Schizosaccharomyces pombe: one gene and its partners. The gene in region 4 interacts genetically with the main gene of each other region. Each region holds a gene or a part of one and is shown on either strand. Other genes may lie near its edges.

Region 1 (5,806 bases), on a different chromosome or scaffold from region 4:
GTTTGGACAATGTTCAAGAAAAATGGATTTCTGAAGTTCTTCACTTCTGCTCCAATTTACCCATTTTGCTAGTTGGGTGTAAAGTGGATTTACGAAACGATCCAAAAACAATCGAAGAGCTCTCCAAAACCTCACAGAAGCCTATCACATTTGAAGAAGGACAGGTAGTAGCTCAAAAGATTGGCGCCTATAAGTATCTCGAATGTTCAGCGAAATTGAACGAAGGGGTCAATGAGGTTTTTGAGACTGCAGCTCGTGCTTCCATGCTTAAATTTAAGCCTGCTAGTGTACCGAAGACAAAAAAGAAGAAGCACTGTATCTTACTCTGATGAAATGCAATCTCTGTTATGGTGTATAAGAGCGTTCTATTAATTACATTCTGTATTGTTAGATTCACTATATTCATTTATCCTCTTGTGCAAAGGAATTATTTTACGAGCTTAACCTTTGTGGTACCGTACACCAAGTTTTTTATCCTTCGAATCATTACCTAATGAGTTTCCATGAATGTTTAAATATTTCATAGTAATTAATTGTCTAATCTTTTATTTAAACTTATCGAAGCCTTTCATTAAAAAACTAGTATAAACACAGTTATATTCATTCACTATTTCGCGAATGTTTGTTGCGTTTTGATTTCAGGAACGTGTTAATTTCCTCACGTAATGTATCATCTAAAGAATTAGTAACTAACAGTGGAAAAAAAAAACTTACTCGGTGTCACATCATCAAGCGTTAATGGAGTTCGATTAAATGGGTCGGTGGCATCACTTAGTAGATGTGCTTTAATAGTAGACCTATCAATCGAAATGCCAGATCTCGGTAAAACAACAGGATCTTTCATTATTGTAAACATAAGAGGATCTAAGAAGTAGTCAGGAATATCACCCATGTCTTCCTCTTCAGTAGCCTCTTGCAATCTGAATGCCTCTACCCTATTCACAAATTCTTTAATAGCTTCTATATCAAAAGATGACTTGAGGTTGTGCTTAGTCATAATGCTAGTCGCACGTTCAAATATTTCTTTACTATAAGAACGGCCATCGTGAGCAACAGCTTCGACAAATGCAGGTTCATTGCACAGGTTAAGATAAACATCGAAAATAATCGACAAAAGGGTTTTTGCATTAAAATGATATTTCGTTGGGTCCTCTACCTTGAGGTTACTACACTTAGGGCCACATAAAGCTTGAAGGTTATAGTTTAGCATAGCTGCCAACCGATCTACAATTTCAACGGCACAAAAGGCTTTAGGAATTGAGGAAGTGAACAATTTGAGCATAAAAATAGTTTCATTCCCTAACTGGCAATAAGTAGAAGCTTGACGTTCTGCGGCCGCTAAGTTGCTTTGCGATTCTTGAACATTCTGGTTAGAGTTGCTATTGCTTATTGCATCTGCCAAAAGGCTCTGAAGGTTGTGAATCTCGGTTAGTTTTAAAAGAGCCTCATCAAGAAGATATGTAGCATCATTAAGCATGAGAGCTACAAATTTAACAAAAAACGGCAAATTTGTTTTTTGCTCCTGCTCCAGCTTACCAAAATAGGCTGGTTGCTTCCAAATAGTTCTAAATACTTCGCATATATAGAAACGAATGTTGAATTTATCATAAAATTGGGTAGATTGTCCTGTAGATTCAATCTCAATATAAAACGCCATAAGTGCTGGAAGTAACCACCTTGTTGCAACCTTCGACGTACGTACAACATCTAACAACAATTCTGATCTTCCCACGTGCGTTTGCACTCCAAAGTATAAAATCTCGGCAAGTTTCGCTCGCAAATAAGGATTTTTGATATAATTAGCTTGAGTTAGAAACGACACACAAAATTCACACAAAGGCTCTAAGGAATGCAGCGTCAAAGTACTCGACGAGGTTTTAAATAAAGACAACATATAATCTGTAATGGTTTCAATAAAATATTCAGGTAAACATTTGAAAGCTTCCGGTGCATTTTCATTAAACGGTAACGATAGCGGCATTTTTGGATATGTCGAAGATTGACCATCAGCTAACCTCGATAACCAAATGGCAACGAAATTAAGAAAAGAAAATGATCTTGAAGTATCAGATGTCTGCGTAAGCATAATCTCATAACAGTGCACAAACGATCTATCTAAATCCAATCTTTGATCAAGCCGACTTAATTGAGCAGTGAGACGTGTCGCTTGAAAACTACCGCTCATATTTTGCTGTTCAGTCTCTAATCTTTCTTTCAGTTTCTCGCTATCACGAATTGATTGCACAAGTTGCTCTAAAGCCTTAAAGGTAGCATTTACACCATAATGATGAAATGCGAGATTTAAAAAAAATATGTCTGAAATAAAGTTATTGGAACCCTCGGCTGGTTTTGAATAAAACGATTCCGAAGCCTTTTGATCAGCATTCAATTTAGTCTCTTCTTTGATATCAACGCGAGGGTTTCTCCTAAAATATTCAACTTGTACTCTGTCAATTTTCGAACATCCTATGTCAAGAAATGGTTCAGAAAGTCTGCTTAACACATGTGAAAAATTTAGCATGCAGGCGTCAGATGTAATATCAAAATGATTAACTTGAATGGATTGTCGCTTGTGATTGGCATTTACCACCATGGCAAAGAAATCCAACACAGACTCTCTCAAAGATGTAGATGTTCGAATGAGGGTATTGAAAATTTGAAAAAGGACATCCTGATAAGTAGACATAGTCAATTTTAAAGAACTTATTGACGAAGATATATTTTGGGCTGATCTCTCAGTAGAATTGGAAAAATATCGAGAAGCGACATCTTGAGTAAACACTGACAAGCTTGATATTCTTCCAAGAAACGTTTTGTACTCAATTTCTCCAGCATTATTCGTAGGATTCCAAGAAGGCAACTTCGGCAAAAGTAATGCAATTGGTTTTAATGACACAAGTTGTAATATAATCTAAAAATATCAGTTTATGCTAAAAGATAAAAATTGATGTTCATACCTGCATCACATTCATTTGAACAGTATCTACATTCATAAGACCAATTTTCAAAGATAAAGATTCCAACACAGGAATAAACAATTCATCTAAGTTTTCGTGTTCAAACCTCTGAACAAATTCTGATAGAAATTCCAAAGGTATACCTTCTGCACCAATTAAAACCTCGGCCAAATCAATTGTCTCCGAATTGAATGTGTCAGGAAGCATTACTACAATACCGGCATAACTGACAAGCAAACTTTTTAACAGAGATAAATAGTGAATTTTAAAGTCCTGGTTTTCATCCTTCGGAAGTCTCTTTTTATACTGATACAGAAAACTCCAAGACTGTAACAAATAAGAGAAAGTATTGTTGCCAGTTGTTGACAGTCGAGAGAGTAACGCAGAGTCAACATTATTCTCATTAAATAATAAAGGGGATCCCTCTTCTTCTAAATCTTTTTTAAAACCTTCTAAATAGTATTTTGATGAATCAGTTTCACTTAATGTAATATTAAGAGCCTGACATGTTATAAAATGCATCCATTCATCCTTAGAAAACAAGCGATGTTTTGGAGCACCAGATGTAACAGGTGGAGATATTTCTTTTTGTTCTGAATTTGATGTTGTAGCCTTTGAACCAATAAATCTCTTTTTTAAATCAGGTTTTTTAGGTTCAGGTGCAATATTGCTTTCCTTAGGTTCTTTAGAAGAATTTGCCTCCGAATTGGTCTGCTGCAATTTAGCAAGCCTTTTAAGACGAATCTATGGGCCAATATTAGCAATTAGCTGAAATTTTTCTCTTACCTTTTCCAAATCACTCATAATGGGGTGGATTGAGCAAGTTGGTGGAAGTGAGGTCAACATATGTTTTAACTACCAAAACTTACTATGCTAAACCGGTAACATGAAATTGTATTAACATATATTATTTTTCTCGTTTATAGTATTTATCCAGCCAAAAACTTTCTATTTTAGAAATATTCTTCACGAATATTTGAGTTTCTGATTCGACAGCTAAAACGTTAAAATAGTCTTATAACAAATAGGCTTACCTGAAGAATACATGATCCATGGTGTTTTTTTTTCATGAAGTACACTACTAGAGTCTAACCAAACCTGCTTTCCTCCTATTGTTTTGTAAGAGCCGTCATTCTGTAAATGTGCGACGTTACGCACAAAACCATCAAGTAGGCATTTCAAAATTTTGGAACAATCACTGGATGGTAATCTTTGAGCAGTAGGTATAGAAAATTTATTTAAAAAACGAACCAAATGAGTGCGAATGTCAAGGGCTTGGCGCAAAGTTTGATAGTTCAAATAATTTTTCCTGCACCATTGTAAATCTTTTTTGTTACCGACAAAAGATTCAAAAACTAAATGTTAATACACTTTTAAACTTTATTAATGAAGCATACCATTTAATGCGGTAATGATGTCCCCTTCATTTGCAAAAAAAGAAGAATGGGCAACGAAGGCATCATTCTTTGATGAACTTGTGGGATTATAAAATACTTCGCCTGCTGTAAGTATTGAAGCAATTGAAAGAATTTCATGAGTGCAACCAAATTGGTTGGAAGTAAGTAACTAATGATGGGTTAGCGTGTACTTTATTTCCTATATGGGAGTACGTACAGCTTTGGAGATGTTTGCATCCAAGAATGAGTTGGAAATTTGTATGCCAAGTGGGTCTGTCAAATTTCCACTTTCGTCCAAGACACCTAAAAGATAGAGGTCCTTCAAAAAAATTAGTTGTTTGCCGGCTATAATAAAATTCACAAACCTCTAGAGCCGCCATAAGGTGAACTGTGGGAGGACGGACAAAAAAGGGAAACTGAAGTATGTTTTTTAGCCCTAAACCTTTCAAAAATAACACCAACGGTGACATATCGCAATTTAAGATGTCTGCTTCAAATTCTTCTTTCATCAAGCTGTAAGCTTTTTCAGTATATAGACGGAACACCTTTCCCCTCATTGTCCTTCCAGCTCTTCCACTTCTCTGTATAGCACTTGACTTAGATATAGGCACGTTAATCAATTTTGAAGTCCTTGTATACGGGTTGTATATCCGTTGTTTATTAAAACCTGAATCAACGACATAAACTATGCCATCAATAGTAATACTAGTCTCAGCAATATTCGTAGAAAATATAACTTTTCTGAAGTCACCATCATATATGTTAAAAACTCGCATTTGCTCGTCAACAGTAAGACCAGCATGTAAAGGTAAAGGAACTAAAGTTTGACAGTCTTCGGAAGCATGAATTAAGGAATCTTCAATCTTTTTTATACAGTATTCTATTTCTTTTCTTCCCGAAAGAAAAACCAATATATCACCAGGCGGATAGGTTGAATTAATGTTTATAACCGTTTCGATTGCAGAATCAACGTAATTTTCTGTAGGTTTCTGCAAAAATAATGTTTCTACGGGGAATAATTTCCCTTCAATTGACATAGTGCATACTTTATCTTGTCCGAAAAACTGAGACAGTTTATTCGCGTCAACAGAAGCGCTGGAGAGCACAAGTCTAAAATCATTCCTCTTTTCTAAAATCCTTGATTTGTCAGCTATGAATAGAAAATTTAAATACCTTTTCAAAACTCCTAGTAGGAGATCTGTCGACAAAGTTCGTTCATGGACTTCGTCGAGAATGACTATTGAATATCTTTCCAGCAAAGGATCAAAAAATATTTCATTCAAAAGGATTCCATCGGTCATATATTTTATTTTTGTTTTTTCAGAAACGTTATGATCAAATTGAATGCTATATCCACACAAACTTCCAGGAGGAGAGTTCAGTTCCAAAGATACTCGTTCAGAGACGCTCTTTGCTACGAGTCTTCTGGGCTTTCAAATAAGTTAGGAGGAT
Region 2 (3,122 bases), 3.8 Mb from region 4:
CGAAGAGGAAGGATCTTTGTCAAAAAAAACATAATTCCTCAACTTCGTTGCTTTTGGCAATGTTCGAATGGTGAAATCGTCAACTTCCCCATCAGCATTGCTTAATGCGCCTCAACGCAAATGACTCAAAAACTTCAATAACGAAATACGCATTCGGATCTCTTAAGTGTTTGTATCGATATTAAAATCCTGTCCCCTGAAAGTTAAGTACACTGAAGAACTAGCTACTGAGTAATGTTATTATCACGGTTCTTCTTAGTTAATAATGAAGCTACAACTATTTGCATAGTAAATCAATTTTATCAAATTTAAAAAGGTGACAATGATCACAGCATTCTTTGTAGAATCGATTACTTTGTCAAAATATAATTTATTCCTACATTCAAGACAACATTTTCTTAATGAACTACTAAGCTGCCTTATTTTGTATGCTGATAACGTCCAAAAAGGCGTAAAGAAACACAATTTCAATTTTTAACTGCTAAGAAATTCATGGCATACACAACGAATGCTAATACTACTCTATAGCCTTGGCAATGAAATGTAAGTAAACAAATGGTGACTTCAAATCATCATACTAATACAACAGGCAATAAATTGTAAAATATTGATAATTAGGCATTTTTTATATAGAAACATTAAAAAACATGAGTCTCAATAAATTATTAAAAACCGGTATCCTAACTGTGCAACCATTTAACAGAAAATTAGGTTGTACAAGATTGTACAAGACAGTTTATGATAAAATAGCCCCAAAAATAGCATACTTAGTAGTATTTTTAAAAAATAAAAATTAAGATTACTGCTTCTTCTTAGATTTCGTATCTTCGACAATTTTAATATTGTCTTCCGGAACCTCTTTAAACTTTTCCAAAATAAAATCAAATATATCATAATTCAAATCACCCTGTACAACAATTTCATCCTTCTTATCAGCTGTTTTAGTGACACTGGCTCCGGTCGCGAACTTGTTGGCCAACATCTTAGCAGCTTTTTTCGTTTCGATCCCAAATGCGTCAAGACCTTGAACTGTGGTGACTCTCTTTCTTTTAGTTCTTTCAATGGTTTTTATCAAAACCTTGGATGCCATACGTTTGGCTTCTTCACGCTCAACGCGCTTTTCCTCCTTCGTCAATTTTGCCGGTTGTTCTTCTGCATTAGAATCTTTAGTTCCGCTAACATTCAGAGTGTTTTCAAGGTCTTTGCTTAAGTCTTGCTCACCGTACAATTTATCATAAACGTCCGGGTGAGATGATTTAAGCCATTCTTTACATTTTTTTAAAGTGCCCTCAAATTCGCAGTACTACAACGCATTCATAGTTAATATAATTATAAAACAAGTTGTTTATTACGTACTTCCACGGGCAATGTACAAACATCGCAGTATAATACTGATTTTAACTTCGGGATGGTTTGTGAAGCCATTATTTGAGTTTCTTGCAGTATAGGTTAAAGTAGAGACTACCTGGGGGAACGAAAATAGAAAGCGAGATTCAAAGAGGCGAAGCCTAAATATACTATGAGAGTAAAATATGCTTAAAAGCTGTAAGTTATTCGTTAAATAAAAAGTAATTCACATCTCAAGTCGTTTTAAATTTTAGAATATAATGTTATGCTGCTGAAACCGTAAACGGATTTTTAGGACTTTTGTTTACATATCAAAACAATGATATGATAACAAGCTGTTCTTTATAAAGAGTAATAAAAATAACGGCGCTGTAACATTGTAAACTAGATTCAACATGATAAAAAGCTACTACAAAATAAGTTGCGTAAAAAGATAGGAAATTAATTATTCAATTATTGTACAAATAAATACACACTTCGCAGCGTGAGCTAGTTCATAACTTTAAATTCATCAAGACTTCGTGAGTATCCTTAATCTTCAAGGGGCTGACCATAACAGAATGAATAGGAGAGCATTTCTTATCCAAATCATAATAAATGGAAGGAGATACAGCTCTTCTCTTCGATAAGTCGATTATTTCTTCGCCCCATCGAGTTCGCTTTTTCGAGGATGGGGTACGGGATCTGGAGTGATTGCTATTCGGAGTTGACATTTCTGTATCCTTAAAAAATACAGAACTGGAAAGCAGAGGAGATATGGGCATCTCATTCGAAGGCTTAGTAGATGGATTGTCCGTATTACTACTGTCCTCTGCAGATGACTCAATTACATCAGAGTTCTCAACAGCTTTCAAAGATCCTGATGGTGCGAGAACATTACCATTTGCACCTGTTATAGAACTGTAAAACGGTACACCCGGACCTACCATTGCAGGCGAAGCAGCTCTAGAAACAAAGGATGATGATTTTTTAGGCTCGAAAAACATCTTGGAAAATTCCGATTCACTACGGATTTCCAACTCCAGAGGAGATGATTCTTCATACAAGGCACTGGCTACGCGTTGGAACATTTTCGGTTTGGGAAGCAAAGACTTTCTTCGTAACACAGGACACAAAGATTTCGAAATTCTTCCAGAATGAGAGGGACTACAAAGGTCCTTTAAATTTTTTACTTCAATATGTTTATTTGGAGTCTTAGAAAACGAACGCTGATCCAAATTTTCATTGTAACTCAACTGCCTAGTTCCTCTAGCCATGGCAGCGGACGGCAAGTCTGTTGTAGAGTCTGATATGTACTCGGTATCATCATCTTCCATATCGGTCAGTTCTGAATCAAGTGGAAACATAGATTCATCAGTTTCGTCGCTCATTGAGTAATTTACATATCTTAATCCGATTGACGGTGAAGCTTCAGGAGAAGGGGCTGTAAAAGTTTGATGCAAGCTTGAGCACCTAATACTTTTCTCTCTGTTTCTTACAAAAAAGTTCAGACTTGAATTTGATGTTGCTGTGGTCGGTTTTCCAGGTGTTGGATGAAATGAATCCATTTCGACAGTATATCCCTACAAAATACCACAAAGACTTAAAAATAATATAAAGGCCCTATATTAAATAATCATTCTATATTTTATTGCATATGCTTTACAATTGAAAAAAATTCGTATTGACGAGGTGACGATAGGCTTCAGTTAAGATCTCGGGAGCAGTACAAAACATAAGCTTAAACATAGTTAATTCCAAAAGAGGATTCAAATCACCATTCTCATAGTAAAGCT
Region 3 (4,681 bases), on a different chromosome or scaffold from region 4:
CAATTTCTTTTACACAATTAACCACTCTGGCAATAATTTGGCAGCAACGATATCTTACAGTTTTATCTTTGGCATCTAACCCACGAAGTATATGTTTTAAGATAGGTTGAACAATGTCTATCTCAGGATCCTTCTGCTGAAGGTAATTAACAAAGGTTACTAGGAACCTCAAAACGCGGTCAGCATTTGAGTTTCCTTTTTTAACAGTTAATATAATATTTAGCGCCCTTAGGATGTCGGTTTCAAATCCTTCCTGCGTCCGTAGGGTAAACAATTTGTTGCATAGCTTTCTATGACCAGCAATTGAAGTTTGACTAGATGAAATAATTTGAATGCAAGACATATTCAATAACAATTATATTATGCCAATTTTAGTGCTTTTGCTGAAGTTGAGGAGCACCTCACTGGCATACCTACAGTTGGCTCTCAGTGGTAGGTTAAGCTGGGGTATGCAAACAAAAAAATGAACCCTTCTAGCTTAGGCCCACTTGAGATTGCAACATTCAATTTGAAAAGAAGATTGCTACCAAGTTACCGATTTATATTTTATTACAATCAATTAAAAGAAAAGGAAATACTAACTGAAAATGATATAGTATGTAAAATGTAAAAGAGGGAATATTAGAGACTAAGTACAATATATGGATCATTATTAAAATATGCAAGTCCTAACCATTGGTGTAGTCAAGTGAAAGTTTTTTTAGTCTCTCAGTAGTAGAGTGCACAGTAGTAGGGTTTTGAGATTTAAGTTTCATAGCATTCTCTTTAGCGATGTTTTCTAGTATAGTCCATCTTTCTTCTCGTATAATTTCTTCATCTTCTTTTTTCCGACGACTCTCAGAATACTCAGCATCAACTTCATCGAATAAAGAAGGATTAATGTCCATGAACAATTTTAAGACGTTACAAACCATAGAATGTATAACTCTAACAAAACGTCAGCAAGAACTAATAAACCACTTTCTTTATCTTAAATAAAGAAAATAAAAAGGGATTTTAAATGAGTAACTACTTACCTATTCCAGTGACTTTTTGAAATTTCAAAGAGTGCGGGATATATAATTGGTAGTATAATGTCAACGTTTTCTTCAACCAAATGCACGAAATAGTCGTTGTTAAAAAAATATAAAGCTCTTTCAGCAACTTGGAAATTTTGGCTAGATATGGATGTTGCCAACTTGTGGAAGAGCGGCACCTGGATCTTTAAAAACTCTGAAGGTTCCATCACTTCAATAATATCTTCAATTTCATTTAAAAATAAGACTTCTTTTGAGCTATTTACTTTCGGCCAGTATCGAAGTAAGCCCAAGACAACCTATATTGTCATCGTTAGATAAAACGTAAGAAACACTAGGAAATATACATACCTCTTCTGTAACAGATGAATCCTTTTCAACAAATTGAACAATTCCATAAGCAATTTGAGGGTAATAAAGGGGAAGGGATTTGGCTTTATGTAAAGGAATAAGAACACGTGACAAGAATATTTTGTGTTCCTCTTTTAGTGGTAGGGCAAATCCATTAATGATACTCCCGAGGATTTCCAACAGTTCGGCAATACCATTAAATTGCTCGTTCTCATAGACAAACTGCAAAAATAAATTATTAATTGAGCGCCTTATGAACGCACGAAGAGAAAGAAACTTTCCGTATATTCTATGAAGTGTAGTCTTTAGAAAATCACGTTCCCTAGGATCTTCGCTGTCGAACAATACAAGTAATTTCCTAATAAATTTTTGATTAATATACACCTTGGCTACGGATGTATTCAAAGACGGAGATTCAAAAAATCTTAAGAAAAAATCGTAAACAAGGTGAAGATGGGGCCAAGCAACTTCCAAAGCCGGCTCATCTTCTTCAAGATCCATGATTTCACCGGGAGGATTAGAAGGAGGAGGTAAAGGACGAAACACATTTACTGCAAACATATGAACAATGGATGGATACAATGACTCATCAATTGCTTCCTTTCGAACAGATATTAAATCAATGAGATCTTGAAGAGCCTCTCGCTTCACTTCTTTTCCGTAAAGATCGGTGGAGGGATCGTTGAAATCGAAAACAACGCAACATTGTTCTAATTTTTCCAACGCCAGAGAGTGCCATTTATTAACAGGAACATCTAAATAGACAGGTTAGTAAATTAAATTGGTTGACAACAAAGTATATTGATAACACCTCAGTGTTTGTCAACACCAAGTACATTAAATCAGAAAGAAAATCCTATTCAATGTTTGTGGTTTAAATCATCTCTTAGTAAAATAAAATGAAATGTGAGAAAAAATGGAAGGATTCCTTTTTCGATATCAGACACATCAAGCTGAACAGTAAATCCACAAGCGACACCAGCATGTGCCGCATTGAACACCATCCAATTTCATGACATTCTAATAAGAAACAAAATCTTTTATAACTACTTAAAACAATCAATGAAGTGTATCCATAAAACATACCAGTAAAGGATGGAAGACGGACCAGGTTTCGATTTTCAGATATATGGTAAAGGGATGAACGTTGTTTACGAACAGTCCTGACATTCTCTAATAAGATCTCATCTCTAGGAGTTGGTGTGGTATCAATAGGTACTTTCTTTCCTGAATGTTTTGGAACAGTAAGAAAGTCGTTTTGGGCACCAATCACAGAACCATTGGGATCCGTCGAGGGAGACTATGAAAATGTTAAAAGTAAGTAAAAACCTTTTCCGTACCTCTTTCGGAGCCTTGCTAGAGTCATGGGAATTCGATTTTTTGCTTTCCTTCTTCTTGCTAGACTTCTGGGTATCTTGAGATTTCCCTCGAGAAAGCTAGATTCTGGTTAATCAAATAAACACTAGATATGGATCTTACCATTTTGCTTTTAATCCCTTTCATCTTGAGGGCTATTTGGAGCGCTCCAACCCTTTCTTCTTTGAAGCTTTCAAAACAAGCCTACAAATTTGGAGACAAAGGGAGTTCAATTTGAAGCTGTTTAGCAGCTCTTATATAACCGTAAAGGCGCTTCTAAATAGCAAAATTTTCGAAGAAAATTCAGCCGCTTTCTGAGAATTTAACACTTTTACTGCTTTTTTGGAATGTACCGACAGGTGGAGATCCGGTCGAGGAAATACCGTGTAGCAAACACACATAACGAAACATAACACCACTTGAAAATTTTGTTTAATGTACCGGTACGTGAAGCTACGAAAGTACAAAAGGTCGTAATTTTATTTAACGATTCTTTAATGTACATCGGAAAGTGGGTTTGACAATAAACAAAGAAAATAAATGATACTTACCCAAATTTCTGAAAAAAAGCGTAATTGTATATGTTGCTTATAAGCTTTCTAACATCAATCTCATTTCATAATCTCCCAATAAGTTAAAAAATTTACAGCAACGTGCTAACAGTATGGATCTATCGGTCGTTACATTTTAGGGTTCGCAGTTGATTTCTACTTTATACAAGAACGAAAATTTAAATGAAGCCTTTATTTTACAAAACCTTTGAGTCAGTGATCGGTGCATCTCATTTCTCAAAAATGTAAAAACTAACTCCCAAGGCGAGACTCGAACTCGCAACCTTCTGATGACCATCATAAGAGTCAGACGCTCTAAACCGATTGAGCCACTCGGGACTTGCTTGTTCATTACGAGATTAAGTACATAATATATATTTTACAAAATGTAGTGTCTTTTAATTGTTAATAGTCAGAATGTCTTTTTACTAAACATTCGTTGACATTTTATTGTGAAGCTTAATGTTGATTAAAATGTCTGTACGCCAAATTATTTTTGAGGCTTCATAGCTTAGGCTAGTGGGTGGGTTGCGAAAACGAATGCATTGACTGGTTTGAAATTGGTATTTATTCTTTATTTAGACACAGCACTAATGATACTGGATTGAAAAAAATTCCTTGAAAAGAGTTACGAATAAAAATACTAAAGTATGGTAAATATATAAGTGTTTCCTTCCCTACCCCAATGAAACGAGACATTCGAGTGAACTACTCCTATTCTCGTACTAGGAATAGCATCGCAGGGAATAGATGCTGTTGAGTTCACTAGACTTGAGAATGCATATAAAAATCAATTTTGTACGAGCGAGTAAATCGTCAATTTTTGTTAACGTAGCATTCCTATCAATCTGAACAATTTTTTTTTTTTAGTTTTCAAATTATTTCAATGATCATTCATATCAAGATTGTCATTTCTCAAGTTATTTTTCTATGAACTACTCACTAGTTAACCTACTTGAATAACAGAATAAATACTATTATTTAACACAACAAATGTCTACGGCCATACCTAGGTGAAAACACCAGTTCCCGTCCGATCACTGCAGTTAAGCGTCTGAGGGCCTCGTTAGTACTATGGTTGGAGACAACATGGGAATCCGGGGTGCTGTAGGCTTCCTTTTATTCTTTTTGCTTTTTGTTGTATTTGTTTCTAAAGAGGTATAGTCCAGTTATTATTTCTATTCATAGTCTAACTTCCAATGTATGAGGAAAAACATACATAACAATTAACTAGCTTGTTCAAGCTTCCATCATTACGATGGATTGGTGAATTACAGACAGCGTGAAAATGGAAAATGGAGTGCTTCCATTTTCCATTGTCTTTTAACTTAAAAAAATTTTTGAGTTTTCGTCTTCTTTTGACAATAATGCTGTATTTTGAATACATTTTTTCATTTCTGTTATTAC
Region 4 (4,223 bases):
TGAAAAATAAGGAAGTTAAAGAGTAATCTCTTGTCAGTGATGGTTACAATACCTTCACTCATCCATATTTCTTAAAAACATACCCTCGATTGGCAGCTAAAATCATACGTAGCCAGCTGAAAAAGTCATTAGCTTTAGAAAATTAAAATTTAAACAAAAATAATAGTCTTACAGCAAAGGATCCGAAGAGTCTGAAGAGACAATTCCATATAATGGTACTTGAGACATAACCAAAAAAATCAACAAGGTGACTCCAGTCCATAACATTTTTTGCTTGAAAGGGACCTAGATTCGATATTAGCTTTCGATGTCTCTTATGAGATACATATGCTACATACCTTTCGTTCGGGTGCAGCAATCTCCGGTAAGAATGGCGCGAAAGGCTTTACAAGGTCCAGAAATCGTACTGTATAGTGTTAGAAATCAATAAGAAATAAAGCATGGTCTTACAATCACTCATATTGTATAATTTAATTAGATTTCTGCCCAACTAAACTTGCTGGTTCTTGTTGACAGTGAAGTATCATACTGAGGTTTTGGTGGTGAATTAAATTAAGGCAGCAGAACGATGGAGATAACTATTCACTTAAATGCGATAACAAGTAAATATTTCGTTTCATTATATAGTTAATAAATACGCTATAATACCAGTATAAACATTTGTTGAAGCTGTAATGAATGCCTGAATTGCCCATTTAACAAGCGTTAGAGAAGTTTTTTAAGCCGATTAAAATTCAAAATAATAACTGCTGAAATGATTTTACTTCACATAGGGATTAAAAGGAGATGCGATTTCCATTACGACCCAGGCAACAAGGTTGACTAATAAATCAAGATCATTAATTTAATATGGAATAAGAAGGGAACTAAAGGCTATGATGAAAGGCTTAATATGTGTACCGATCTAAGATGCCAACTGTTTCACCAAAAAATGAAAACACAATATTGTTTTACCAATTTGTAATTGGGAGATTGGATCAAATAAATTGATTACCAATTCATGACCTCAACAAGTAATTCTAGTTGTTCATAAGTGTTAGCCTCTTTCTTGCAATTACTATCCACGTGATTTAGATGTTTCTGTGGAACAACAGCTATCTGGATAAAAAAACTTTGGGACAAACGAGAGTGAAACATTTTTAACTTAAATTATTTGCATCACTCTGAAAGTTATGAGTTGACTCATTCGAAGTCAGTTGAGAGATGAATCACAGACACTACTTATTGAGAACTTTAAGCAATGGAAAACTTGATATCGAAGGAGCTATCAAAGTCAATATTAATTGAATGAGGACATTATGCAAAGAACGTATTTTGGTTCATTATAAGGAAACCTCTTTTTAGTATCTTTCAAACAAGCAGGAGCTTCATGAATGCAAGGCCGGAGAGAAATTGGACTAGCCTACTCACAGACTAGAAGATTACAAAACTTCAAAGGATATGTCTCAGTACGAAGATCGTACCCTTAGCGCAAGAGTATTGAACCCTCGTCAAATTAGTGAGCAATATCAGAAAAAAGTTTTTGTATTAATTCCTTGTAAACTTTACGTTTCAGTAAAAGGAGCCTAGTCGTTCTTCTTCATTCCCTAAGCTTTTTCATAACTTCAATGCGTGAATTATTGTACAATTTGTAGTAAACTTCCATTTATTAAGTCTTTGAACTAAATGGCTTAAAAATGACAATATTCCTGAATATCCTTTGCAGAGTAGTTTTCGACGTGAATTGCGAGGAAAATGAACCTGTAAACTTTATTGAAGACGAGTCAAATTATTGAGTTATTTAATATAAGTCCAAAGAAAAGCGTTTTTTAAATAGTCATTATTGTGGTATGTTGCTAGTTGAATGTTATACACTTCGTTGTCCACACCAGTTACTGCTTGTGCATACAATAAAGCTGGATGCTTAAAAAATTGACTGGCATCATTGTAATTTTATAATCTACATATGCAAAAAGCCCATGAACTTTTTTTCTTGTACATAGACTCTAGAAAGAGGAAATAAATTGATCGATTTTACTATCAGACAAAGGCGTTTGTTTATGATTGTTGAGATCATTCAATAAACCTTTTAATACTTCCTGATACGATTTTTGTCTTTAGTCCATTTTTACGAGAAGTACAAACAATCGGTCTGATAATTTTTCACATATCGTATATTAGAAGATGGATTCCACAGCTCAACAATTTCCTTTGAACCACGACCTGCAAGTACAAAAAGACCAGAAAGGTGTTGTAGAGGAAGATGAGGAGCAAATACATAAGCGCATTCGCAATTATGAATCACATTCAGGATTCTCTGAATATTGTACTCTTTTCGGTCATGAGAAAAGTGTTACATGTGTCAGCGTTTCCCCTAACAAACGATGGATCGCTACCTCTTCATCCGATGGAACTATAAAGATTTGGAGCGCACTTACGTTTCGACTTGAATGTACACTTTTCGGCCACTACCGAGGAATATCTCAAGTAAAATGGGCAACTGGTAGTAAGTATCTAGCTAGCGCTTCTGACGATAAGACCATAAGGATTTGGGATTTTGAAAAACGGTGCAGTGTGAGATGTTTAAAAGGTCATACAAATTACGTTTCATCAATTGACTTTAATCCATTGGGCACGCTTTTGGTGTCAGGATCATGGGATGAGACTGTCCGTATATGGAATCTTCAAGATGGAACTTGCCTTAGGATGCTACCTGCACATTCAGAACCTATTATATCTGTTTCTATATCAGCTGACGGAACTTTATGTGCGACTGCTAGTTATGATGGAATGGCACGAATTTGGGATGTTCTCAGTGGCCAGTGTTTAAAAACATTAGTTGAACCCATTAATGTTCCTTTGTCTAATCTCCAGTTTACAGAAAATCGAAAATATCTGCTTGTAAGTAATCTTAACTCACAGATCCGTCTTTGGGATTATCGCCGAAACCGTGTGGTACGAATATTTGATAGCCACGTGAATACAAGATATTCTATGTCTTGGGATTGCTATTCTTCTAAAAATATTCCTAAAAATACTGAAGCTTTACCCAATAATGACTCTTCCTACCCTGATGATGCAGAATCTTTCATGCACGATGCTTATCTTTTAATTCCTAGTGAAGATGGAACAATCCAAATTACAGATCCGAGTACAAAAATAATTATTGACGATTCAATTAGGCATTCCGATGATCCAGAAACATCACTTTTAAATGTAACCAGTTTAGGTCCTTTCATAATCACATCAGGAACTGATCCTTATGTACGAGTTTGGGCTCCTTCTCTTCTATTGTCGAAGCACGAGAAAGATGGCTTTTCACCTTAACCTGAATTGTTGACAAATAATGTATAAAGTTTAAAGAAACTACTTGGAATTACGATGAAGATAATGATGCTAAAGGTTTACGTGCGAAAACAAGCTCCTTACTTCCAATCCAAAGGCTAGTTGGCCTATGAAAACTTAAGTGGATCGATACATAGAAGATAAAATTAATTTATACAGTCTTCGATTATTCTTTACAGAAGATTTCTCGAAGAACGAATGTCGGCCAAGTTGATATCCTGAAATTGATGGTTTTTCTAATTTTTCTCGTTTATTAAACCAGTTATATTCATTTTGTTACTAATTTTCATCATCTAGTTTAATTCGACAGATTTTAAAGGGAGATAAATTTTTTACTTTTTTTTCCTAATATTTATTCCTTTACCACTACTGATATTCTAATAAGGTAAAACTTTTTTCGAATTAAATCATTTGGCCGAGTCAAACTTAAAATAATTGAGAAAAAAACGTATTACCTGATTTTCAATGAGTGAAAACCCAGCACATAAGGATTTGGACAGTTTGCAGGTTGACGAGAAAGCAAAAAGTTGGATTGCTGAAAAAGTTGAAGAGGAGCTCCGAAGGTTAGAGTCAGTAGGTGCTAAAGCGATCCCCTTAGATGTTAAGAATTACAGTGTTATGTTAGATGAAGACACGGATACTGTGGTAAACAGAATTGAGTTGATGACTAGCTTCGACTTTGATCATGTTCAACAAATTCTTCTATCCGCCGTACAGCCCTATCCTTATGATAAAAACTTAATGTTTGTTTATTTGGTGATATTAACGCCTCTTCCACACCCTATGTTAATTCCATATTTGTTTGCACCCAAGGTCGTAGGCAAGAATCTACTACCCCGTGCTGACGGATTGGTAGAGAATACCTTGAAAAGATGGACATTCATTAATGATAAGCTCAA

What was found.
Region 1: mutations in swd3 (region 4) and ufd2 together harm fitness more than expected from each alone (negative genetic interaction), as found in Schizosaccharomyces pombe (2 studies listed by BioGRID).
Region 2: mutations in swd3 (region 4) and tma22 together harm fitness more than expected from each alone (negative genetic interaction), as found in Schizosaccharomyces pombe (2 studies listed by BioGRID).
Region 3: mutations in swd3 (region 4) and par1 together harm fitness more than expected from each alone (negative genetic interaction), as found in Schizosaccharomyces pombe (2 studies listed by BioGRID).

The regions. Positions count from the first base shown.
Region 1 is NC_003424.3:2,126,418-2,132,223, reverse strand, and holds ufd2 (ubiquitin-protein ligase E4), read right to left. Parts: upstream 3,784-5,806; 5' UTR 3,762-3,783; coding exon 3,744-3,761; exon of another isoform or gene 3,736-3,743; intron 3,702-3,735; coding exon 2,958-3,701; intron 2,912-2,957; coding exon 715-2,911; intron 675-714; coding exon 601-674; 3' UTR 511-600; downstream 1-510. Other genes in the region: Rho family GTPase Rho5, read left to right, coding at 1-329; gih35 (ATP-dependent RNA helicase), read right to left, coding at 3,865-3,953, 3,992-4,312, 4,355-4,523, 4,572-4,673, 4,720-5,491, 5,528-5,784. UniProt on the Schizosaccharomyces pombe protein: E4 ubiquitin chain-elongation enzyme specifically involved in polyubiquitin chain assembly.
Region 2 is NC_003423.3:4,333,922-4,337,043, reverse strand, and holds tma22 (mitochondrial translation initiation factor), read right to left. Parts: upstream 1,452-3,122; 5' UTR 1,426-1,451; coding exon 1,357-1,425; intron 1,304-1,356; coding exon 800-1,303; 3' UTR 564-799; downstream 1-563. Other genes in the region: vacuolar protein sorting receptor vps10, read right to left, coding at 1-32; protein Dbl6, read right to left, coding at 1,842-2,894.
Region 3 is NC_003421.2:1,473,966-1,478,646, reverse strand, and holds par1 (serine/threonine protein phosphatase PP2A regulatory subunit B-56 Par1), read right to left. Parts: upstream 3,075-4,681; 5' UTR 2,871-3,074; coding exon 2,847-2,870; intron 2,804-2,846; coding exon 2,708-2,803; intron 2,668-2,707; coding exon 2,454-2,667; intron 2,123-2,453; coding exon 1,368-2,122; intron 1,316-1,367; coding exon 1,017-1,315; intron 928-1,016; coding exon 669-927; 3' UTR 544-668; downstream 1-543. Other genes in the region: condensin complex non-SMC subunit Cnd3, read right to left, coding at 1-343. UniProt on the Schizosaccharomyces pombe protein: The B regulatory subunit might modulate substrate selectivity and catalytic activity, and might also direct the localization of the catalytic enzyme to a particular subcellular compartment. Has a role in cell shape control and septum formation.
Region 4 is NC_003423.3:546,507-550,729, forward strand, and holds swd3 (Set1C complex WD repeat protein Swd3), read left to right. Parts: upstream 1-1,857; 5' UTR 1,858-2,163; coding exon 2,164-3,306; 3' UTR 3,307-3,723; downstream 3,724-4,223. Other genes in the region: translocon alpha subunit Sec61, read right to left, coding at 84-116, 173-285, 339-406, 451-460; SPOM_SPBC354.04 (uncharacterized protein), read left to right, coding at 3,790-4,223. UniProt on the Schizosaccharomyces pombe protein: The Set1 complex specifically methylates 'Lys-4' of histone H3.